2 linked regions of the Xenopus tropicalis genome follow. The protein of the gene in region 1 interacts with the protein of each later gene in a biochemical or structural test. Links are inferred from orthologs where the notes say so. Each region holds a gene or a part of one and is shown in the gene's direction. Other genes may lie near its edges. The genes, in order: hip1r and cltb.

Evidence for each region.
Region 2: the proteins of hip1r (region 1) and cltb form a complex in vitro, tested with the Homo sapiens proteins (2 studies listed by BioGRID). The link is inferred for Xenopus tropicalis from reciprocal best matches to the Homo sapiens genes HIP1R and CLTB.

The regions. Positions count from the first base shown.
Region 1 is NC_030677.2:161,472,525-161,484,994, reverse strand, and holds part of hip1r (huntingtin-interacting protein 1-related protein), read left to right. Parts: intron 1-80; coding exon 81-153; intron 154-887; coding exon 888-1,071; intron 1,072-1,477; coding exon 1,478-1,566; intron 1,567-2,176; coding exon 2,177-2,293; intron 2,294-3,093; coding exon 3,094-3,195; intron 3,196-4,753; coding exon 4,754-4,948; intron 4,949-6,775; coding exon 6,776-6,923; intron 6,924-7,511; coding exon 7,512-7,598; intron 7,599-9,229; coding exon 9,230-9,337; intron 9,338-9,585; coding exon 9,586-9,722; intron 9,723-10,137; coding exon 10,138-10,248; intron 10,249-10,961; coding exon 10,962-11,020; intron 11,021-12,470. UniProt on the Homo sapiens protein: Component of clathrin-coated pits and vesicles, that may link the endocytic machinery to the actin cytoskeleton. Binds 3-phosphoinositides (via ENTH domain).
Region 2 is NC_030679.2:47,560,824-47,573,293, forward strand, and holds the end of cltb (clathrin light chain B), read left to right. Parts: intron 1-5,469; coding exon 5,470-5,519; intron 5,520-6,090; coding exon 6,091-6,208; intron 6,209-6,553; coding exon 6,554-6,665; intron 6,666-7,288; coding exon of another isoform or gene 7,289-7,342; intron 7,343-7,787; coding exon 7,788-7,959; 3' UTR 7,960-10,009; downstream 10,010-12,470. UniProt on the Homo sapiens protein: Clathrin is the major protein of the polyhedral coat of coated pits and vesicles.

The DNA.
Region 1 (12,470 bases):
GCATAATTTTCCTTGTTGTAAAATGGATTTTTATTTTGTGCTTTCTTTGTGTATTGCAATAATCTCTTTATTATGTTTAGGGATCTTCAAATTGAAAATCTGCAAAAGGAAATAGAATTACTACGTGCTGAACTAGAGAAAATAAAGCTGGAGGTGAGACTATCCTTTAATTAGTATGCTAATGCTAGAATTAGAATATTAGTAAATTGTTCAGTACTTTTTAGCTCATAGAGATATAATTATAATACTACAACAACAACAATACTACAACGGATATATTTTTATTTTGCTTTTCTTAAAGGGACAGTAACACCAAAAAATGAAAGTGTATAAAAGTAATTACTATATAATGTAATGCTGCCCTGCACTGGTACAACTGGTGTGTTTTCCTTAGAAAGACTACTATAGTTTATATAATAAAGCTTCTGTGTAGCCACGGGGGCAGCCATTTACAGGAGAAAAGGCACAGGTTACTTAGCAGATAACAGATAAACCCCATTATATTCTACAAAGCTTATCTGTTATCTGATATGTGCCTGTGCCTTTTCTCCTTTTTCCCAGCTTCAATGGCTGCCCCCGTGTTGACATAGCAGCTCATTTATATAAACTATAGTAGCATTTCTGTTGCAAACTTACCAGTTTTACCAGCGCAGGGCAACGGTACATTATATTTTAATTACTTTAAAACACTTTTATTTTTTTGGTGTTACTGTTCCTTTAAGTATAAGCTTCAATAAGCTTGGTATGCAGTGCCTATGTACAGTATCCTTACTTTGTAAGGCACATGTCTTTTGCTGTGCTTGATAATTGTCTCCATAAAATGTGCATTTTATTTAAGATACTAAAAATGTTTATCTTAGCAAACTTTTCTTTTTTATGTTCATTAGGCACAAAAGTACATCTTGCAACTAAAAGGACAAATCAACACATTGGAGGCTGAGCTAGAGGAACAGAGGAAGCAGAAACAAAAGGCTTTAGTAGATAATGAACAGTTGCGGGATGAGTTGGAGAAGCTAAAGAAACAGAAACTGGAAAATGAGAAAACACAAGGGGTCCTCCTGGAAGCAGAGAGTAGGTATTCGGCTAAGGGTGACCATACATGGGTCGATTCTAGCGGCCGTTATTGGTTCCTTCAATCGAATCAGCCAGATCTCGATTGAGCAGGTTTGATTTTGGTTCGGGGACCGCATTGGCTCGTTGATGTGGTCCCCAAACCAACAGGTGCCTATACCCGTTGGTTCTAGGACCAAACGACCAAATCAACCCCATATCGCCCACCTGTAGGTGGGGATATCGGTAAAAGATCTGGTCGCTTGGTAACCTCGCCAAGCGAGCAGATCTTAGCGTGTATGGCCACCTTTAGGTGTTCTTTAACTGAAATGTATAAAGAACTAAATATGTGTGTGCCAATTGTGGGCAGGTTTTTTTTAAAAATATGCAGAACTTCTAAATTATACATTCAATTGTGTTTTGGTAGAGAAGATACAAGCCACAGAGTTACGCTATACCAAACTGAAAGAAAAGCACAATGAGCTCATTAATACCCACGCTGGACTTCTTAGAAAGGTAGCTAATTTTATTTTATATCAGATTTGTTCTTTGTCTCCTTTTGTAACTTGTGAATTTGGAAATAACAAAGATAATTTTTATTTATTAATGTAATTTGATTAAAAACTCCAAAAAGGCACAACTGATGCTTGTTTGAAAAGTTTTCTGTTGGTTATAAAAATAAATTGCTTACTGAGTTGTAACTACTCCTTCAGAAATGTTTTAATACATTTTAATCTGTTTAATTCTCATTTGCCTGATTATCATTGTGTAAATAGGATTTATTTATTCCTTATAATTATGTTTTTAGTCATTGTAACTCCCTGAAGTGTTTTACTAAATTTCCACTGAAAACTGGGTGAATTTGATGGTCAACATTAGTAAATTGCCTTTTTATCCTATAGAGCTGTGAATTACACAACTGAATGCAAACACTTGAGCTAATCATGAGCATTAACACTGCATTGATCCTATTTATTTCACTTATTTAAATAAATTGTGGATATTTGAAAAGGTGGTGTAAAGTTAATTTAACATTAATGTATGTAAGGAGTATAAACATTTACTTTATTGTTAAAGGACTTCAAAACAAGCTTCCATCTTTTATTTTATTTTTTTTTTTGTACAGAATGCTGATACAGCAAAACAGTTAACAGTGTCACAACAAAATCAGGAAGAGGTGGCACGTATCAAAGAAGAGCTGGAATTTCAGATGGATCAAGTGAAACGAGAATCAGATTTGAAGGTTATTTAAAGTGGCTTTCTAGTTAATAATGTGATTTAAGCTATCTTAGATATATACTCTTGAACGTTTATTACAGAACAAATACATAGAAGGCAACCAGCTTTGTAACCCAAGCATACACCTAAAACACCTTTGTAAAAATGAGCACTATATACAGGTATGGGACCCATTTTCCAAAATGCTTTGGGACCTGGGGTTTTCCGGATAAGGGGTCTTTCCGTACTTCGGATCTCCGAAGTAAAGTCGGCTAAAACCATTATTTAAACAGTAATTAAACCCAATAGAATTGTTTTGCCTCCAATAAGGATTAATTATATCTTAGTTGGGATCAAGTACAAGGTTCTTTTTTATTATTACAGAGAAAAATGAAATCATTTTAAAAATGTGAATTATTTGATTAAAATGCAGTCTATGGGAGATGGCCTTTCTGTAATTCGGAATTTCTGGATAATGGGTTTCCGGATAAGGGGTCCAATACCTGTATAGGACTTGAAATTACATTCTGCCTATGTTTTACATTTTAGAAAAATACCTCATTTTCCTATTTACATTGCTAAATGGCTGTGGTGGCTATGAACTGGTACAGAAGCCTAAATCAAAAAAAGTGTAACATTTCTAACCAAAAGGTGTCCATACACGAGCCAATAAAAGCTCTTTTCTTTCTAATTACATAGATCGGTTAAAACCGGTCCTTATTCATCTCGTATATTAAGTGCAATGCACATATTTTCTGCCAGATTTCGAGAAACAAATAATCATGCAGATAATGTTTTCTTTCATTTGCCTGTTTTTAAATCCAGTTGGAGGACCAAAGTTTTCAGACTGAACAACTGAAATCAGAAATTGAAGCAAAGAAAAAAGAGTTATTACTTATCCAGCAATCTCTATCAAGTACTGAGGAGGTAGGTAGTGTGTATCACTGTGGTTACAAAAGACAATGGTTATTGATATATGATTTGCTAATAGTAATTATAAGAAGGATTTTGCAAATCAACTGGAAAACTTAAAACCTGCCAGTTTTGCATAGGTTGATCCACACACCTTGTGCTGTTATCTCGCTTAAGTGGAGTGTGCAATTGAGGACAATTTCAATAAAACCATAGCTTTAATAGTAGTCTAATTAGTTCTCATCAAGTTGCTGTTATCCTGTGTTTTTATGTGAAAATCTACATGCTAATCTGCAACCTTAAATAAAAAGTTTATGAAATAAATAATAATAAAGTTTCAGGTAAATGATTTTTACCATGTTAGCCCGTTATAATTCTTTCAAGTGCAACTTTTGGTATGAAACATAACAAGTGGCATAAAGGTTCTTTATCGAATAACTAATATGATAATCACAGCAAGCTTTCAGAACATTTCAGTTAATCAGCTTTGAAGAAGGTTTGCTGTAAATATCATATTAGTTAGTCAATAAAGGTATCACATTTACTCCACTTTTAAATCGAACAATATTTTAAAATATGGCAAAAGAAAAGCTTAGCATAACAAATTGAGGAAGTCTAAAAGACAGGAGGCGATAAGAAAGGCAGGTAGGCCACAGGATAATGAGGAAAGGGTAATAAAAAGAATCAAGTTGCTGATGGTACTGAAAGTGTTGAACAAGGCACACTGGTGTTACAAAGGGGCTATTCCTTAAAGTACTATTCCTGCTGACCTTAACCCCACCCTCATCCAACCTAAAACCATCCTGGCCCAATGCGCTGCAATGATATATACCCGCACCTGACCCATCCATTATCTATCATTAAAGGGGGTAAGGCAGGCATTAAGGATCCCTCTAATTTCTTCTTGGCTATGTTTGAAGAAATTTATTTTTTGCACACTTTTTAAATGCTGCATGTGCACTGTAAAAAAACAGTGCGCAGTATACAAAATTGTGTTTTCGCACCACAATTTTTGTGTGCTGGTCTCAAACTTTGTGTGTGCACTCACAAGCACACAGCTTAGAGGGAACATTTGGCGGGCGTGCATATATATATATAAATAACAGTGGCATGCAGTTTCAACACTGACAATAGTGGGTTGGGACAGCTTGGAAGGTAGGAGGTGCTGGGATAGCAGTAATTGAGGATTGCAGCCTGTCTGCAACACGCTGCAGGGCAATTGTTTAGCCTGAACCTGTGGGTTTTGAGCCAACCCTCACATCACTAATTACCACATTTATTTTACATGTATATTTACATATATATTGTTTTTCATGTTACTAGCCAGCTTTTAACATTTTGGTTTGTATAACGTGACTGAATATTGTGCAGTTTTGTCACATATCTAATATCAAAGTTTTTGGGGATAAGACTCTAACATGGACCACGGGTCATAACAGTTTAGTCAGAAATTACTAAATTCTGTGACCGGAGCATTGCATGCATAGCTTACCTACATTTTTCTCTTTTAAACTTATTAATGGCTTATCTTTATATGCATACATTTAACACTGCATTTCTGAACATTTTTCAGTCTAAATCCCAGCTTAACTCAACATTAATGTCACTAGAAGTGGAGAAGGACACTCTAAAAAGTTTGTTGACCACTAAGGAATCGGAACTGTCTTCTGCTCAAAACCTGGCTCGAGATACAGAGACTTTATTCAATCAAGAGCAAGAAAAGAAAGCCAGTGAAATAAGAGACTTGCACGAAAAACTCAACAAAAAGGTGTCTGAATTTGAAAACATATTATACTGTTTATGTAGAATTACATTTCCGTTCCCAACTAAAGTAAGAGCTGCATCAGTACTGAGCAATATGTATGATTTTAAAAACCTTATATGGGCTTCTAGTTATAAATGCTAGGCATTATATTTAATGTTGGTTACAGAGCAATATAATACATTTCAATAAAAAATATATTTTTCTAATGAAATGCCATCTAGTAACTAAAGGTGCTCTATCATAGTGTGATAATCATTGAACTCCTGGCCCATAGTGTTCCTTATAATTTTTTGTATGCTGTGTGTGGCTTCTAGCCAGTCTCCAAGCTTGTATATTAACGTTGCAAATGACTGCAATTTCACAAATTATTTTCTCTAGGTGGGATTTTGCAAAAGGTTTGAATTTTTGTCACAAACAGAAAAGCATTTTGTTAAGTTTTGGCACCCCTGGTCAAAGTACATGCATATTTGCTAAGAGGTTAGCATAAACTCTGTAGGGAACAAACTTATAAACAGTAACATTTTGCATTTCTGTGAATAATAATGAAGGAGTTAGGAAAAAACAAGAAAGCATTTGGTGGCATAAAAGTAGATAATTTCTAATGGGTTTTTATTGGAAATTGAAGTGTTTTGTTGCAAGCAATTAGAAAATGTTTGGATTTTTGGCCTTACATATAAACTGTATGGAACATGTTATTACTATTAATGCAGCGCTGCACTGTTGATTTTGTTAAAGAGCTTCTGTACTGCCACATATACCGAGAGAGAGAGCACAGTATGATCTTTCCATAGGCTGGAAACTGTATTACTCCAGCTTATGGAAGGCTTGGGCCTCCACAAGCCCAACAAGAAATGGCTCTCCCTGTTTAGGCAACATTATCCTAAAATATGTGCAATACAGTGAAAATCCAAACTTTAACAAAAAATCTGGCTGTGCATGTGTCAGCCTCAGGGGACTGAAGAAGGAAGACGAGGATGGCTTTGTGTTGCTCACTATAAAACTTTGGGCCTGTGCAGTTTTCCTCTAACAGGAGCAATGGCCCAGGGTATTAGGCAAGTGATTGTAAATCACTTGTGGTGCCAAATGGCTGCACTTTTCTTCTCCTTTAAAGAAACAGTAACACTAAAAAATTAAAATGTATCAAAGTAACTAATCTATTATGTACTGCTGCCCTGCACTGTTAAAAGTTGTGTGTTTGCTTTAGAAAGACTACTATAGTTTATATATAAACCGTGCTGTGTAGCTATGGGGACAGCCATTCAAAAGAAGAAAAGACACAGGTTATATAGCAGATAACAGCTAAACCCTGAAGAATACAATGGTGTTTTATCTGTTATCTGCTACGTAACCTGTGCCTTTTCTCCTTTTTTCCATCTTGAATGCCTGCCCCCATGGCTACACAGCATATTTATATAAACTATAGTAGGGTTTCTGAAGCAAACACACCAGTGTTACCAGTGCAGGACAATAGTACATTAAATTTGAATGACTTTAAAACACTTTTATTTTTTGGTGTTACTGTTCCTTTAAGTTTTAGCCATATAATTACTGTGATCTTCTTAAACAGTAACACTAGAAAGGTGCCTAAACCTGGAAAGGTGCCTAAACTTTTGCACATACTATTCGCAAACATAAAGAAACTTAAACAAAAACAATGTTTACTTTTGTTACCTGCAGAGTTTTTTAACTTATTTTCACTTGGAAAGTCATGTAATTTCACCAAGGGTACACAACTGTACTTTGCCAGTTTTCATGGCTCAGATTCTTTTTTTAACTGTAACTTGTTTTGTAGTTTTAATTGTATTTGTTTTTTTATTGTTGCTGTGAAAGACTACTGATGAACAGAAGCTTTATCAGAAGATGTTAGAGGATCAGTTTAACATTATTCAGGGAACCGTGAGAGAAGCAGAGAATATTATTCAGGATGCTGTTGCCAAACTTGATGACCCCTTGCACATTCGCTGCACCAGTTCTCCAGGTACATATTTTAAAGCAAACTTAAATTTGTTCTTTTTATGTGAATATTTGAACTACTGTGCAATCTACTTTAAAGTTTATTTAAAAAGTATTTTAAATACTTGATATGCTAAACATTTCCCCATTTATAATGCACAAATGGGCTCCATGCTTTTGCTTTTGTTTTTTTGTGTGCAGTCTTCTAGAACCAGTTTCTAAAGTACAATTACTGGATGGTGCATAATATTTAATTGGGATCATTCATCTTACTAAGTAATTTTTTGTTATTAAGAAAAATTGTTTTACAGTTACAAGAATGTTTCAATATTTTGTTTCTAGCCCCTCATCATAAAAATAACCAGTTACAAATACTTAAACTGAATCCGCTTCCAGAAATGTAAACCATACAGCAGATCTCTGTGAAGCTAAGGCACTTGGAGTTAAAGTGCACCTGCCGCTATTGAGTTAATTGAGTTATTTTTAAATTTTTAAAGTTTTATTTAAATTATTAACCAAATAATAAAATAAGTCGAAATAATTAAAAGCCTGACTTAAATTTGGTTGCTGCCCTTTGCCACTGAATAAAGCTTCATTATTTTTGCTTTTGCAGATTACCTTGTCTGCAGAGCACAAGCTGCATTGGATTCTATCCCTCACCTTGAAAATGGACACGCTAAGTATATACAAAACATGACAGGTGAGTTTCATACGCTGGCAAATGCAAGAGAAAGCCATTTCCAGCATATGTTCTACTGCCAGCGTTTCACATGACAAGCTATTTGTCGCTCATGGATTGCGCAGGTTTCCTGTGGGCGACAGAGTTTACTCTGGGAAAGGGGTGCCAGCTTGTTAGGAAACCCCCCTATTGAATGAAATCATTTTCCTCAAACCAGTAATATTCTTATGTAAAAAAAAAAAAACGGCCATTTTTTTTTTCTCAGGCCACTTTGCCACCATTTTAGCTTGTTCTCCTAGGATGGAGGACACCAAATTGCAAAAGTTGTATGACTGCTCCATTATTCCTCCCCCTCACCTCAATCCAACAATTTTTGATGCAGCCTCCAACATTTAAGGGTAACTTGATTACCATGTTTTTTTTTCTGAGGACATTGCAGTGGCTGATCCTTTCCATGCCCTGTTGCTTTCTACCTCAGTAAATGTGTTCGGTGCCATCTAATCAACATCCCACCAGTATCATGTCACAGTATTGGTGATCAGTTAATATGCTTCATCATTTACCTGTCAACAAGGTAGAATCAGCATTACTAACACTAGAGTGCCAGGTGACAGACTATATATTTCTGGGTTCTGTGTAGAGTGGCCACCTCAACCCTTTAAAGGAACAGTAACACCAAAAAATGAAAGTGTATAAAAATAATTAATATATTTTGTACTATTGCCCTGCACTGGTAAAAGTTGTGTGTTTGCTTCTTAAACACTACTACAGTTTATATAAATACCCTGCTGTGTAGCCATGGGGGCAGCCATTTAAATTGAAAAAAGGAGAAAAGGCACAGGTTACATAAGAAGATAACAGATAACTGTGTAGAATACAATGGGAATCTGCTACTTATCTGTTATCTGCTTAGTAACCTGTGCCTTTTCTCCTTTTTTCAATTTAAATGGCTGCCCCCATGGCTACACAGCAGCTATTTCTATTAACTATAGTAGTCTTTCTGAAGCAAACACACAACTTTTACCAGTGCAGGGCAACAGTACATTATATTTTAATTATTTTAAAACATTTTTATTTTTTAGTGTTACTGTTCCTTTAATTCAGCCAAATATTTACTTGGCTAATTAGCAGTTAACTTTGGTGCATGCTGCAGACTGAACTGATTTATGTGCAGCCATATAGTATGCATCTGAAGTAATTGCTAATTACCTAGGCAGGATGTGGGCAGTTATAAAGGGGTGAGGTGGCAACCCTAGTTCTGTGTAACACAGCAGTGCCTAGGGTTGCTACCTCACCGCTTTAATACCACCCACATATTGAATCCACATCCTGCATGGCTAGTTAGCAGTTAATTTACATGCATGCTGCACATAAATCAGTTCAGTCTGCAGCAGGCATCTAAGTTAACCATGTAGGATGTGGATTCAATATGTGGCTGGTATTAAAGTGGTGAGGCTGCAACCCTAGCAGTGCCCAATCCAATTTTGTGGATATACCAGCTGGCAGGCAGGGTAAAATGTCCATTTGTTAATTTTGTGTGTTTTCTTGCCAGTTTCTTTGTTTGGGGTAAATGTAACACCGGTTTAAATATACTGATATGTATGGTTTAGCAGTGTTAAACTTAATTTCTTTTTATTTTGTTTTTAATAAAGATGCCTCTGACTTAGTGGGAGCACTTGCCCAGTTTGCACACTTAACTGCAGACACTATTGTAAATGGCAGTGCAACTTCGCATTTGGCTCCACCTGATCATGCTGATCGTAAGTAAAACTTATTAGACCAAAAAATGTAAATAAACGAATTGATGGTCACCAGTCACTCATCATTTGGTGTTGATAAACATCTGCAGAGATGTCTGACAGGTCTGCATGTAGGACATTTTTCAGAAATATTCTTATTGGATGACTTGGTCACTCATGTGGCCACCCTTACTTTTCTGAACCCCTTACAGTATTCCTTATCAATTTTAGAAATGCATTCAGTATTTATTTGTCACTATCAATTTCAGGGCTAAATGACAGCTGCAAAGAGTGTGGAAACCAAAGCTTGGACTATCTAAGTAGCCTAAAGAATAAACATTCCCTAAAAAATGCAGACCTTGCAGAAGTCAACAGATCGCTGAAGAGAATCTTTGATCTGGGACAGGTAGACTACTTAATAAACACCCTGACTGTGCTGCATGTTTGTTGTAGTCTTGCTGTTATAAGACATTAGAAATTGCCCATTGTTTCTTATGTTATCTCTTCTATGTCTTTGAGGTCAAAATATATATTTGTTGTTAAGATAGAATATCTCTTCTGAGATATGTGGGTGACATTGCTGTTGGGCACCTAACACAGTGATGTAGACTGGGGGGTGGCAGGGGTACCCGAACCACAGAGTCTTTTTTTTTTTTTTTTTTCTCTCCAGTTGTAGTGAAATCCCCCTCCCTGGGCGCACTTCTGCCTTAGGGGTTGCAGAATGCACCGGGCTCCTCCAAAGATTTTTTTTGCAGGGGGCCCAGCACGGTGTAGGCATTTCACCTACATAGATAGATAGTGTTGAAGTTTCTTTTTAACAGGAATTGAGGCCTAAGAGTCTGGATATCAAGCAGGAAGAACTGGGTGACATGGTGGACAAAGAAATGGCCTCAACCTCTGCTGCTATAGAAGCTGCTGTGCGACGGATTGAGGTTAGTTTCTGGTAGTGCTTGATCAAATAAAAAAAAAAAAAGCTTCCTCAAATATGTTGATTGAGGTTTTTTGTTTGTGCAGCCTAACAAATCTAGAGATACATTACCAATAAAGATCCATAACCAGTAGTGAACCTGTTTTGTAAATCACTCATGCATTTCCTAAATACAGACAACATCTCATTTTAATGTTTTGTGTGTATCTGTTTGATAATATTTAAATGTAGTTTTTCTGGTGGAGCAGAAACACACTACAGCTGTGTTAGTATACAGTGCTGTACAGTGGCGTTCACCTGTATCTGACACATCAGTGTTTATTTAGATATTATAATCCAATATAGCCTAGGGTGCATTGAGTTTTATCCTAGTATTCCAAAGTCATTGTTGTTGCAAGGGGGTATTGCACATTGTGCCTAATTTAGTTGCACTGCATCTGCTGTAATTGCCTCCAATTTAGGAAGATTAACACAATGCGTGCACGCAGAAGTCCAACTGTTTGCGCCTGTGCGAAAGGAACCCTGGAGTTACAGCCTGATCAGACGTTAGTTCCAGGTTTTCTTTCGCACCCAGCATCAGCATCAGCATTACATTTGTAAATGGCCCCTTATGAATTGCAACAATATACCTATACAGACTAACCGATAGCTTTTAGCACATTCATGTACCTCACCTATGCTGTAAATATTGACTTTTTCTTTTCAATGCTACAACAGGAAATGATGAACCAGGCTAGAAAAGACAGCTCAGGTGTTAAACTTGAAGTAAACGAGAGGTGCGTTTTGCAAACAAAATAAATAAATAAAAATATATGACTCTTCAGTCTTTAGAAAAGCTATTAAAGGGGACCTGTCACCCACATATAAAAAGCTGTATAAGTAAAGTATTTTGCAAATTAAAGATGAAATTTAAATTCTTTTTCTCTGATGTCTCTGGGGAAGGACACTTGATAGACAGATCAAAGATGGTGTGCCAGGACTACTCCAGCTTTACACCTAGGACTTACTTTTTTGGATTAGTTTTTCAAGTGTCCTGTCCACAGGAGGCTGAACCAGTGAGACCCACCACAAGGAGCCCCTTGGTCAAAAAGTAGCACTGACACCCAGGGCTAGAATTGAGGGAGGAACAGTTAACCCCCAATGTGGGATCGCGCACCCCCAGGGCTATCTATCTCTCAGAGAGAACGGTCTTTTAGATGAAAACCTGTCTTTTGGGGGAGACTAGGGGTTCTGGCTGGGAGACATGCAAAACAGAGAGGTAAGTGGGCTCCATACTCCTGCTCTCCATGGCTGTCAGCAATTTCCACTAGCGAAAGGACTTAATGCCATGACACAACCCTGAATGGAGGTTCTACCTGGCAAACGTGTTTCATCCTCCACTTCCCATGCTCCCAAGGGTACACAAAAAGATACAAAAACCAGACCTACAAGTGATTGTAGTGGCCATGAAGAACCAGGTTTTGCAATCTCCAAGAGTTGTCAGTTGCCGTGCCTGTCCCACTGCCTTATAATGCAGGCCTACTTCATCAGGGACCAATCAATCGCCCCAGCCCAGGCCTGTTCAATTTGATGGCATGGCTATTAAAGAGACCATCTGGAGACGGAAGGATTTCACAGTCACATGTCATAGCCACCCTATTATAAGCCAGGAAACCGGTTTCCACAAAAATCTATGACAGAATTTAGGAAATTTAGTTCCCTTTGAGGACTTCTCTATCCTGTCTATTCTCTCATTCTTGCTGAGAGGTTTGGATATAGGACTACAACTCAGTTCCCTCCAGGTACAAGTTTCTGCGCTCTCTTTTATTCCAATGCAGGTTGGCCCTGGATGACACCATTAAATCCTTTCTGCAAGGAATTACCCACGTAGCCTTCCACAGCATCCTTCTATGTGGGACCTGAACGTGTTGCTGGCCGTACTCATTGATCCTCCATTTTAACCACTCTCATCTGTGGACCTCTAGTGGGTCACCTGGAGGGTCACATTCCTCATGCCCATCTCCTGGGCACGCAGAGTCTTTGAACTGGGGAACTTTCTTGCGATCCACAATTGCTGGTGTTCCCTAAGAACAAGGCTGTCTTACGTACCAAACCTTATTTCCTGCCTAAAGTGGTGTCATCCTTTCACCTTTATCAGGAAATCCTTGTGTCTGGACCCCAAGAATGCAAAAGAAAAGCGTCTTCATGGACTGGACTTTGTCAAATTGTCTGGGTATGTCTGATGTA
Region 2 (12,470 bases), on another chromosome or scaffold:
AACAAGAGGGTGCATTACCAGAAGGGAAGAGCGATTGGGAGGACAATGACTCCTTACCTGCAATACAGAATTCACACATATCTCAATCAGATGCACTACTTTTTGACATGTTCCAAACCCTGGGTATACAGGAGGAACAACAAGAACTCATAACATCAGATAAACTCTTTGGGTCAACACAAAAAAAGCAAAGCTGCTTCCCCGTACATGACACTGTCACTGAAACCATTCAAAAGTAATGGAACACCCTGTATAAACGTTTGGACACCCTTTACCCCACATACCAAACACACAGAGACAAATGGGATGCCATCCCTAAGGCTGACGCTTGTCTACTTAAAAATAATATCTCCTGCTCCACCTCTGCATTCAAGCCTACCATCGCCTTGGCCTGCATCTCCAGTTTTTTAGTACTCTGGTTGGCAGTTTCTGTTTTTTTATTGAGGAATATTGTTATCCCATAAGATTAGAGTTATCCCAGATGCACATATGTCCATGATAGATGCTAGCCATTCATGTGTGGATTTTTTTCGCCACACTATAATTCACATTGCCATTGATTTTAACATCACTCCAATGTCTTGACAGCTGCATTGTTTGCTCAGGGGACTCCAGTAGAGGTTTATCACCCTGATCACCCCCTGCAAACAACTCACATCTTAACATTCATCTTTTTATCCAGATTGGGCTGAATACAATCAGTGACATCCCTGCTTGAATAAACTGAATAATTGCCCCTTTTGCCAAACAATTGGATCAACCCAGTATTGCCCAGGTGGGCATATTAGAGAAAGATAGACTTATTTGGCCACCTTTAGGGCTCTGGCACACGGGGAGATTAGTCGCCCGTAGTGCTGGGCGGTATGACCAAAAATTTATATCACGGTATTTTTCAAAATTATATCGGTATCACGGTATTTGACGGTATTTTTTTTTCCCCATGCATGATTAGGTGACCACCCCAAACACCCCCCCATCCGCACGCAGCCCCCCCACCCCCCCATCCGCACGCACCCCCCCATCCGCACGCAACCCCCCCACCCCCCCATCCGCACGCACCCCCCCCACCCCAAACACCCCCCCATCCGCACGCAGCCCCCCCACCCCCCCATCCGCACGCAACCCCCCCACCCCCCCATCCGCACGCACCCCCCCCACCCCAAACACCCCCCCATCCGCACACACCCCCCCCACCCCACCCCAAACACCCCCCCATCCCCTTCACATAAATATAACCCCCCACCCCCCCCCAAACACAACCCCATCCCCTTCACATAAGTATAACCCACCCACCCCCACCCCAAACACCCCCCCATCCCCTTCACATAAATATAACCCCCCACCCCACCCCCCCCAAACACAACCCCATCCCCTTCACATAAAATATAATTACTGGCCAGGCACCCCCCGACAGCTCACATTGGTATCCGACTCTGAATGCGTCCTAGCGATGGCGCTTTTGTAGAGTGTGCGCGCTGACGTCACGTGCGCGCTGACGTCACGTGCGCGCTGACGTCACGTGCGCGCTGACGTCACGTGCGCACCCGGAAGTATTCAGCACACCGGTATGTAGAAAATTCATATCGGTTTCAAAAAAAAAACCGGTGATCGGTTTTTACCGGTATACCGCCCAGCACTAGTCGCCCGCAACAAAACTCCCTGTTCGCGGGCGACTAATCTCCCCGAGTTGCCTTCACCTGCCATCCCACCGGCGACAATGTAAGTCGCCGGTGGGATAGCACACGCGGCGGCGCGATTTCGCACAAATTGGCCAAAAATCCTTGCGAGTCTTTTTCGGCGATTTCCCGAAATCGTGCCGCCGCGTGTGCCATCCCACCGGCGACTTACATTGTCGCCGGTGGGATGGCAGGTGAAGGCAACTCGGGGAGATTAGTCGCCCGCGAACAGGGAGATTTGTCGCGGGCAACTAATCTCCCCGTGTGCCAGAGCCCTTAGCCTCCTAAAAAGCAAGTGACGTGTTGCTGGACATATTTTGCAATATCGCCGAAAAAAAAGCAAGTGACGTGTTGCTGGCCATATTTTGCAATATCGCCGAAAAAGACTCGCAAGGCTTTTTGGCCAATTTGTGCGAAATCGTGCCGCCGCGTGTGCCATCCCACCGGCGACTTACATTGTCGCCTGTGGGATGGCAGGTGAAGGCAACTCGGGGAGATTAGTCGCCCGCGAACAGGGAGATTTGTCGCGGGCGACTAATCTCCCCGTGTGCCAGAGCCCTTAGCCTCCTAAAAAGCAAGTGACGTGTTGCTGGACATATTTTGCAGACTGAACCTGGAATTTTACAATGTTATTAATTTTACAAGCATCCATGCATAATACTGTATATTCTTTCTCTAAGAATGGGGATTGGCCTCTATAGTAAGAAAACCATGTTTAAAAAAATTTGAATTAAAAAAAAAAAAAACCAGCCACTGATATTTAAGAATATATATTTTAACATTTACAAATAGGACTATACAAATTTGTAACATTTATAGCCTGATTGTCTCTGATTGTTCTTTCTGATAGCTGCAGTTACCACACAGAATAAATACTAAGGAATTGCACTGATCACTGATGCCATTTTTTCCACCATTAGCTGTGTGTTGTCACAGTGGAGCTACAAAATGAATGAGAGAAGGTGTGACATTCCGCATTGCTAACCTCAGCTGCCTGCTATTATAAGGAATAGGTAACAACATTGTCTCTCTTTATATATAGGCCCCCTAGTCACTGATTAATCTCTGAGTAGAAAAGACCTTGAAGGAAATTGTCTTGGAAACACAAATGCCCTTTGATCTGCAGGAGCGGTTAAACCAGTGGTTCTCAACCTTCCTAATGCCGTGACCCTTTAATACAGTTCCTCATGTTGGGGTGACCCCCAACTATAAAATTATTCCTAAGACCATTGGAAATATGTGTTTTCCGATGGTGTTAGGCGACCCCTGTGAAAGTGTCATTCGACCCCTACAGAGGTCCTGACCCACAGGTTGAGAACCGCTGGGTTAAACCCTTTTATTACATATTTCAGTTTCCTTCTAATATCTATATATATAAACAGAAGTAGCTGCTACCTGGATTTTAGACATGACCCAAATTTTTTAGCGACTTTATGACCCTAACCTAGTAACATATTGATATATGGGTGACTATTCTCAAAGCTGATTAGTGGCATTGCTTAAGATAATAGAAGGGGATGGAGCAGATTGATGAAATAATCTAATCTCATGGCTACCAGTAGTGGGTATGTTTTGTAGTCCAATAAGCAATGCCACTAATCCGCCCTGGAAATAGTAAGCCTTTGACCCATATATCAATATGTTACTAGGTGTATTTGTGATTGTTCTACATGGAATAAAGATGTTACTGTACATAACTGCCTTTCAAGGCAGAGTCTACATTTATCTCCAGCAATACCTTTGGTGCTATCCACATGTGGTCTTATTTCTATACTATCAGATGTTTAATAAAAACTAATATTTTAAATTAAAAAATAATTTCACCTTTTCATATATGGTCAGTGACTACTTTTGCCCATCAGTGGTGTATGCGGAGTATCTTGTGAACTGTCACTCTAGCGCCATCTAGTGCTCATTCATTTTCCTTATGTAACTCAACTATGTGGTTTGTGCTACGTGTATGAGGTCTGACACATCTCCTGAACACACCACAGCAACAGAGCTGGTTAGTACTTATATTCACAGGAGTGCTGTGTGGTTTATTGTCAACTACATTTAAGAATCTTTGCAGCACATATGCTAACACTTTACTATCTTGATCCTCAGGGCATTGCATGTATTACTTTTCCAGTATTCCAAATCACCTTGGTGGTAGCACAGATTAATATCTGCTTGTTTGGATTGTGGATATTTTTCTGTGTATCTGTACCGTGTTGTATTTCATTTTTTATCTTCTATGAAGGCTCATTCATCTAAACTTTTGTTTTATTTGAACAATATTTTTGGTTTGGTCTCGTACTACGGATAAGCTATGCTGTCATCTTTACCTTTTTCCGCCATTTTGTGCTTAATAGTCATTTGCTGTGTAATTTTCACGTTGAGAAGCTAGACAAAACATCAGTCTCCCTCAGTAAAATTTCGGTATTTCTTCATAAGACCTGTGAGTGCGGATCTCTCTACCTGCTTCATTCAGATTCTCCTGCAGCGTTCCACCTTTCAAAAGTGAGTGCTGGACACAATTAACACATATATACACAATATACAAAAACAAAAAAAAATATTATGTCACCAAAGAGTTTTGTAACCAAGCTGTTAATAAGTAAACATGGAGATAATGACACCCTAGAGAGTCTAGACTGATAATCATTTTTTTTATAAAGCATCACTAAGCATTTCCAGCTCACTAAAGGCTAGGTAGTGCACCATAAAGCTCATGAGTTATTTTTGGCTGTTTGCTCATAGGGAAATTAAAAGATATGCAATTAAACATTTGTATTAAACATAACCACCATTTTGGGATATACCTTTTGATACAATAATTTTACCTTAGAATCATTTTAATACAGTATAAGGTTTTAAACTTCTAGTGCCATAGACAATAAATTGTTCAGTGCCGACTCTCCAGGACTGAATTGTAAAATATACAGGGATACTGTGTTTACATGGAAGGATATCAGTGGGTAATTCACCAAGCATCACTTTTTGTGTAAATGTGTTACTTAGCTGGCACAGAAGCTGTAGGAAAAATAGCTTTCTTTTAAAGAGGCTTTATTTATGGTAATGCAGCAAATTAGCTTACGGTAGAGTGAGATTTGTTTGGAATGAGCAAGTGTTGATTTTATATTTAGTATCTATACTTATACCTGGTGTGTCCTTCACTGCATAAATCACAAAGGCACAGTAAGCCATTTATGTATCATAAGAGATGAATGCATAATGTTATGCTTGATGCATGGTATTCAATAGCTGTGCCCTCGAATGATTAATACATTAATTTTTTTTTCCATAAAATTCTCTTTATTTCCCACACTGCTCAGACAGTTTTCAGTCCATCACTTGTGGGTTGAATTAATCACTTCAGTCCTGTCAGGAAGAACTATCAACTATCAAAATGGTCTTGTCCCCCTGCTACTGCTTCTCATTCACTTGAACAGGGAATGCGCCACCTATAGCAGAAACGGGTGCCAGTTGGAAAGTATCACTAGACAATGCAGATGCCCAGGTTTGCAAGGAACACTTTTTGAGCAATGCAAGTGTCAGGCATACTCAGCATGTTTCCAGTGCTGGGGCAAGATACTTGTAATATGCACAATACAGCAAATAAAAAATGTACCTCAAAATATTTGTCAGTCATGTGATATAAATGTGTCATGTTAAAGGCTCTGATTTTCATCTGAAACCTCAAATGTCCAAAATGTTTACCATATTACCATGTTATTTTAATAGCAAGCACAAACCTTTTTATTTTGTTTTAGTTACCATTCCATTAAACTCCATTTTTTTGTGCTTGCAGTGGATTTCAATGACTTTGGGACCATCCCAATGAATGGAGAACTTTACCAGGTGAGTTTATCGCCAAAGGAAGATGTCTAGGTTAGTGGAATGTGAGAGATATCATTGGGTGATTCCCCAAGCATCATCACTTAGTGTGTAAATGATATAGTGTGCAATTTTAATTCTAATAGTAGTTTGGTTTTCCAATAAAATATATGTTTCTCGGATACTGAATGCTGCTGTGGCACAAGTGAGCAGGACATTGTACGTGTGTGATCCTAACTCTAATAATATGGTATTATTTACTAATTATCCCTCTACAAATACTTTGTGTTATGTAAAGACATCTTTAGCAACTTTCTCTCTTTATGTTGTTATACTGTACATATCCACTAATAATCACTCAGTGCTAGGATGAAGCTTTAACACACTTCACTTTATATAACTTAAAGCAAAGTAGCTTGAAGCCCATCTGCCGCATTGTAAAGTTTGGTACTGAGCCAATTGTGGCCCTAAGTTTGCAGCTGGGGGAATTTTGCACCCAGGCCTGTGGGGCTATATTTAAACCTCTAGGTCCAGGCTCCAGGTTTGCTCACTTTAGCTACATTTTTAACATGTTTTTATGTCTTTCCATTGCCAGGAGACTTCTGATTATTCTGATGGATATGCAGCAATAGCACAGGCTGATCGATTGACCCAGGAGCCAGAAAGCCTAAGGAAATGGAGAGAGGAGCAGAAAACACGCTTAGAGGAGCTGGGTAAGTGCTATATTTAGTTTAGAATTCAGTGCACATAGTACCTTGCTCAGTTTGTTGCATGTCAGCTGACAAGCACTTGTACTGATGCTTTCAAGCAACTGTGATAGAGGGAAAAGAAGGGTCGATTTCCGACTAATAATAATAATAATAATATAATAATAATAAACAGAAATATGTGGACTAGCTGGTGCCATTATACTTCAGCCTCTGGAAAATCATATACAGATTAATCATGGTATTTATAAAGATCAAAGAATGATAGACAAGATGAAAGAGAGAAAGCTGTAAAAGAAAACGTTGGAAGAGGTATTGGAAATATTATAACCTCTTGTTTGTACCTTACAGATGCAGCCTCAAAAGTAACGGAGCAGGAGTGGCGAGAAAAAGCCAAAAAAGATTTAGATGAGTGGTATCAGAGACAAAGTGAACAGATAGAGAAAAACAAAGTATCAAACAGGTAAAGTATCAGTGCTTATAGCTGGAAAGAAGTGTCCTGGCCTGGAGTAATGTGCAGCCTGTATTTACTAAATATAAACTTTGTATATGATTATATATATCTGGCATTGGAGAAGGAGATGTGGAAGAAGTGGTTATACTGTAGGTTGTCAATGCAACATCATAAGAGCAGAGGATCTGTGATTATGTATTATTACAGGCTGTACTGGCACAACTATATGTAATACAGGCCCTGTACTGTACAGTGTCAGACAGCATATTAAACTGAATAAAGATGTGAGCTGATAGAATCCAATGGCAAATCAGGTTTTGTAATCCATTACCCCACATTGTTGCTTCCTTTAAAATGCACCACAAGGGGGACAAGTAGTGACAGTAGACTGGGTTTTAGGAAAGGAGAACATGGTAAGGGATGATACACTAGGCCTGCGCAAAGTTGCTGTTACTTTCCTTCAGTCTGTTTCTATTATAACACAGCATCAGAACCTGTAACTTTGCACTGTTTTTCCCTCTTCTTGTTGCTAACGTTACTTCTTGACATCTAACTCAGTCTCTTCTCTCCTGTACCCAATGTCTTCCTCTTTCTCTCTCCTTTTTGTCCTGTTTTGCATGCTGATAACCAAGGATTGCGGACAAAGCATTTTACCAGCAGCCTAACGCTGAAGTTATTGGTTACGTGTATGTTCCTTTTTTTCAGCATGTTTTTTTTCATGGGATTATATGTTAAATGATCATTAAAGGGGAACTTAAATTTCATTTTAGATTCAAAATTTTAGGGAATTTGTATTTTCTATATAACAATTTATGATGAATTTTTAACATGTTTTCAATATTTCTTTTAAACACACCCAAAACCACTTGGCAAGTTCCTGCCAATTCCTGTCTGCTTTATTGCACAGGATAATAAAGTTTTATTGTATTATGACTTATGTACCTGTTTCCTTGTGCCCAGTTTGTGTTGTGATCCTAGTATTTAAGGTTATTTAAACAATGGGTATGCTAATGCTACCAGCTAGTTCTGTGCATTTACAGTATTGCAACAAGAGATGTAACATAAAGCAGACCCAATGTTTTCCAGTGATTATGGTTTTGCTGACTTCTCTTCAAATTTCTCTTTAAACAGAGCATCGGATGAAGCCATGGCATCAGATACAAAGGAAGAAGAAACTGGCACAGAATGGGAGAGAGTTGCCCGCCTTTGTGACTTCAATCCTAAGAGCAGCAAACAGTCAAAAGATGTATCTCGCCTACGATCAGTCTTAATCTCCTTAAAGCAGACACCTCTATCACGCTAGCTTTGCCTCTCCTTTACGCCTCACTCCCCTGCTTTACATGATACCAAAGAAACCATACCTTGAAGGCCCAGGGCAATTAACAGTATATTACACCTACTGTTGAACAGGCCGTTTATTTTTCCCCACAGTGCAGAAATCTACTAAAATAGAAACTAGTTCCAAAATGTCCTTATTTTAGGTTGTTTTCATATAAAAAAAGGCATATGTTGAATAAGAATCTTAGGTTAGAGTACCTAGAGAACCTTAAGTTTTCCCTGAGAACCTGAAAAGGTTGCTTGTTTTTAGTGGTGTATACAGCACAACAGGGGTTGCCTGAATGAAGATGAAACTAGTGTATAAAGTGTAAATCATCCCATAGGTGTCTTGACAGGTAGAGATTGCATGTTAAGAAGGTTCATTTCATAGCAGAGGATTCTACACATATGTACTTGCACCTTTAAGCTTTTTCCAGCAACACAGGTTCAATCATTTTTGTAGCCATTATGTCTTAACCGCCAGCAATAGATTCGTTATGTACAGTTTCAATCATCAATAACAAGAGACACTAAACTTTCCCTGAGATTGGCAAGTCAAAATACAAGGACTGGTTGTAGGCAGTAAGCCATAACGATTAAAGGGGGTGTAAAGTGCATATATAGATTATTGGCACTAAATTAAACAACTTTGTTATGTTATATGTTAATATGTCTGTTTAAAAGCTTTGTACTGTTTTGAGATACAAGTGATCGTTTCTGCAGCTTTCTCTCCTCTCCCTTGATCACGTTCCCTCTTGAAGTTAAGCAGCGGCTTGCTGTCCAGCTCTTAAGTGATTTATGGGCTGCCCCTCCGAAGCTTAACTGCTCATAACTACTTATAGGGGTCAAGGGTGGCCTTACCCTCACATATATATACTTGGTGAGGAACTGCTGCCCCTAAGAACACCAGGGAGTAGGACGGTCAGTGGGTGTTGAACTTCAAGGGGGATCACAATCAAGGGAGAGTAGAGAAAGCTGCAGGAACGATCGCTTGTATCTCAAAGTAGGTACGAACGTTTTAACAGACATATAATGCAAAATTGTTTAATTTAGTGTTAAAAATCTATACACGCATTTTAAAAATGACTTTACATCCCCTTTAAATGACATGTAAACCCCACACAAAAAATGTATACAGTGAACAGTCTCTTTAACATCTTTTAATACCTGCTACTCTGGTTGTTTAAAGGTTAATAGTAAGGTTGCAGCTTCCCCCTGTAACCCACTCGGCTCCTCTCTCAGGAATTTAGTTTGGCTGTAGGCTACTGAGCATGCTCAGTTTTAAACATTACTAAACACGCTCTCCAATCTAGCCGCCAATGAAGAAATAGTGTTGCTGGTTTTCATAGAAACTCTTCTCTAGCTTTCTGCTTCTATTTTTTTTTCCTAACCTCCTGTCCTGAGCTCAGTTTAAGCATTACAATGCTCAATCCAAGCAGGGCTTTTTATTAAAGTAAGTTCTGCCTGTGTAAGCCTGCATTTTTTTTATTAAATTTACACTGAATTTTGTGCACATGTGCTGTTTGCAGAAGTAAATGTCACTGATGATGTGTCAGAGGGAAAATGGCTGCCAGTTGAATGCTGCTATTTGTTTAAGGAAAATGCAATGGTGCTGGTGAACTGAGGGGATATATGCAGTACAAATGATGCAGTTCAGGTGGGAGAAAAGTGCACAACTTATACATGCTAGGAAAATTTTAGGGTTTGCATGCTGTTTAAAATCTGTACTCATCAAGCACTACCAACCATTTAAATTCCATCATCAATAAGTCATTAAACAGTTTCTAGAAATAATAAGGCCTCTTCCATAAGATACCATGTTCAAATTTAGGGGATCTGGAACAGTTAATAAATAAGTTTGGACTGTTAATAATTTCAAAAGACTCTACAAATGGGGCATTTTGCATCAGTGTTTGGTAAGCGTATTCTGTTTGTATTGCTTATTCACCTGAGTGTTGTGTTTTAAATGACAGGGGGTGGGATGTTTTTATTATGTCTAAGTATTGCATTCTAAAATAAAGATAAGATTGGTGATAGAAATAATTTATTGCTGTAGTGTAGTTGTAATTATTTTTGTGTCTTTCATAATATAATACAACATCCTTTTCCATACAATAGAGCAATAACACAGGAAGCCCACCGCAACGCATCTCTCAGAATTCATTTAAAGCCACATTCTGTTCTCATGATCATAATGGAGTACTTTTATAAATTTGTTGTGAACTTGTATTTGTCCTGTGTGTATAGCAAGATGGCTTTTCACTTTATATTTTTCTGTACCTATGTTATTAAGGGAATGGAGGGGCTCCTGAATAAATGTTTGACCACAAATGCGGGAATGAACCCAGAAAATCAGGGACGCAGGCACTGTCATGGGACTATTTATCTAGGGGTCGGCAAGTTAATTTTTTCTTAGCTTTGTGAATAAATATGTGTTGCCCCATTGTAGAGGTAGATGCCTGACACTGTAGACCAGACTAAGCCAATGAAACTGGTAAAGAAATCCAGACTTGCTTCAAATCTACTGAGTTACCGTCAAGGATTTTGAAAAATACAAGTGTACTTTAAATATACTCCAAAAAGAATCAAGGGAATTGGGCCATGGCACATATTTGTTGCCTGCAGTTAAATCTGCTCTGGCAACAAATCTCCAGGAAATGACTTGCCATAGCATAACATTGGGATTACTGTAAAACATTACTTACAGTGATCTGTCTTAGGAAAATGCGAAGGGAGGCAATATAATCTTGTTATAATCAGTATAATCTAAAATAAAATGCTTATTTGTGTAAACAAGTAAATATATGCAAACTGTGAGCATTTATTAAGCACCCTGTTATTAAATAGCACATAAATGGAGACCAACACAGATATTTGCTTTCAGTAGTTTCATGATGATTCCATTCAGTACATAAATGATGTATCTGTATATTATTTACTGGGTTTTTGGGGGTGTAAAGATTTTGGTAGGTCTGTCCTTGTTTCCCTCAATCTCTCGCTTAATTTATGAAATCCATAATGAGAAATGTGTTGTAATAGGAATGTAAACAACCCCAATGTGCTATTAATTGATTAATGTTGTCTGCTTACTCTGTGTCACATCAATAAAATGCCAATAAGTCTGCCTGCACTAGTTATTCTTCTCAAGACTTTTATAACTACTAACTGGTAGGTAAATTGCTGATAGTGTGTGACGTATCGAGAATAGTCTTATATTTGTGTCCTCTACAATAAGGGCTGTGGCACACGGGGAGATTAGTCTCCCCGATATGCCATCCCACCAGCAAGAATGTAAATCGTCGGTGGGATGGCATACGCAGCGGTGCGATCGCCGAAGTTGGGCTTGTTAAAATAAATAACTCCTCCTCTACAATAAGGAAAAGGCCATGGACTAAATGTCTCTTTTTATGATCAGTAAAAAAAAAGGTTATTAGTGAAAGATTTGGAAAAAAAATTGCAGGAATTTTCAATAGTTTGCACTGTGATCACACACACACACACACACTCCTTATTGGAAGTTGTAGCCGATGAAGAAGAATAGCCTCTCCTACACCTCCCACAAGCGAAAAAGAACCTGTGACTGGGCTGGCTCTGAAGAGGAGTGGCAGGAGTGTGTAGTAGATTAGTTCCCACAAGCTTTGCAACCAAAGTTGAATTCAGGCAAGGGTTAGAGGTAGGCAGCAAAGATTCCGGGTCCAGAAACATTAGCACAGGCTGTGTCATAGGACATGTGTGCCATGCTGAACCAGGAAGTGTGTGCCTACCCAGGCTCCAAATTGTGGGGAAAATCGATTTGTTTGAAAAACTTTCACAAATGGGAGAAAAATGTAACATGGGAAAAATTGGAAATTTAAACATAAGAACTATTTAGAGGTTTTGCACTTTATTGTAGCTGTGTAAACAAAAAGCTGTACTGTAAGTGGGACTGACTGTGACTGTGTGAAAATAGTCCCACACAGCCATTTAACGGAACTGAACACTGAACTCAAAATGACAGGCCATGCTATCACCCCACTGCCCCAGGAAACAGAATCCAGCATGGCAGCAGCGTCTCTTGTTGAAGCTTCTTTTAGTCTTCAGAGTTCTTAGGATGGAGGCACATGCTGGCGCTGTTGCAAGATAATAGTAAGTGTGATACCTATGGGATATATGACAAATGACTGCCCATTTGCTACAGGCCTAGTGATTGACAGTGACAACAATGGCAAGTGATTGGAGATAATGCTTAGCTTTCTCTATTTGTTTCTGAGATGAGCCACTAAAAGAAAAAAATAATGTAACAATATCAAATTTCAAATTCTTTTCCAGGGAACTAGTTTATTTAAGATCCATATTTTGTGAAGATCTCTCTATATTGTATAAGATGATACAATATGTTTACCAATATGTGTACCATGTTTACCTGTATGTTTTCTTGAACACTAATAAAAAACAAAAAAAAAATCCAGATTTTGGACAATGTTATATTTTTAAAGTAGAAAAAAAGTTGTATCGAGA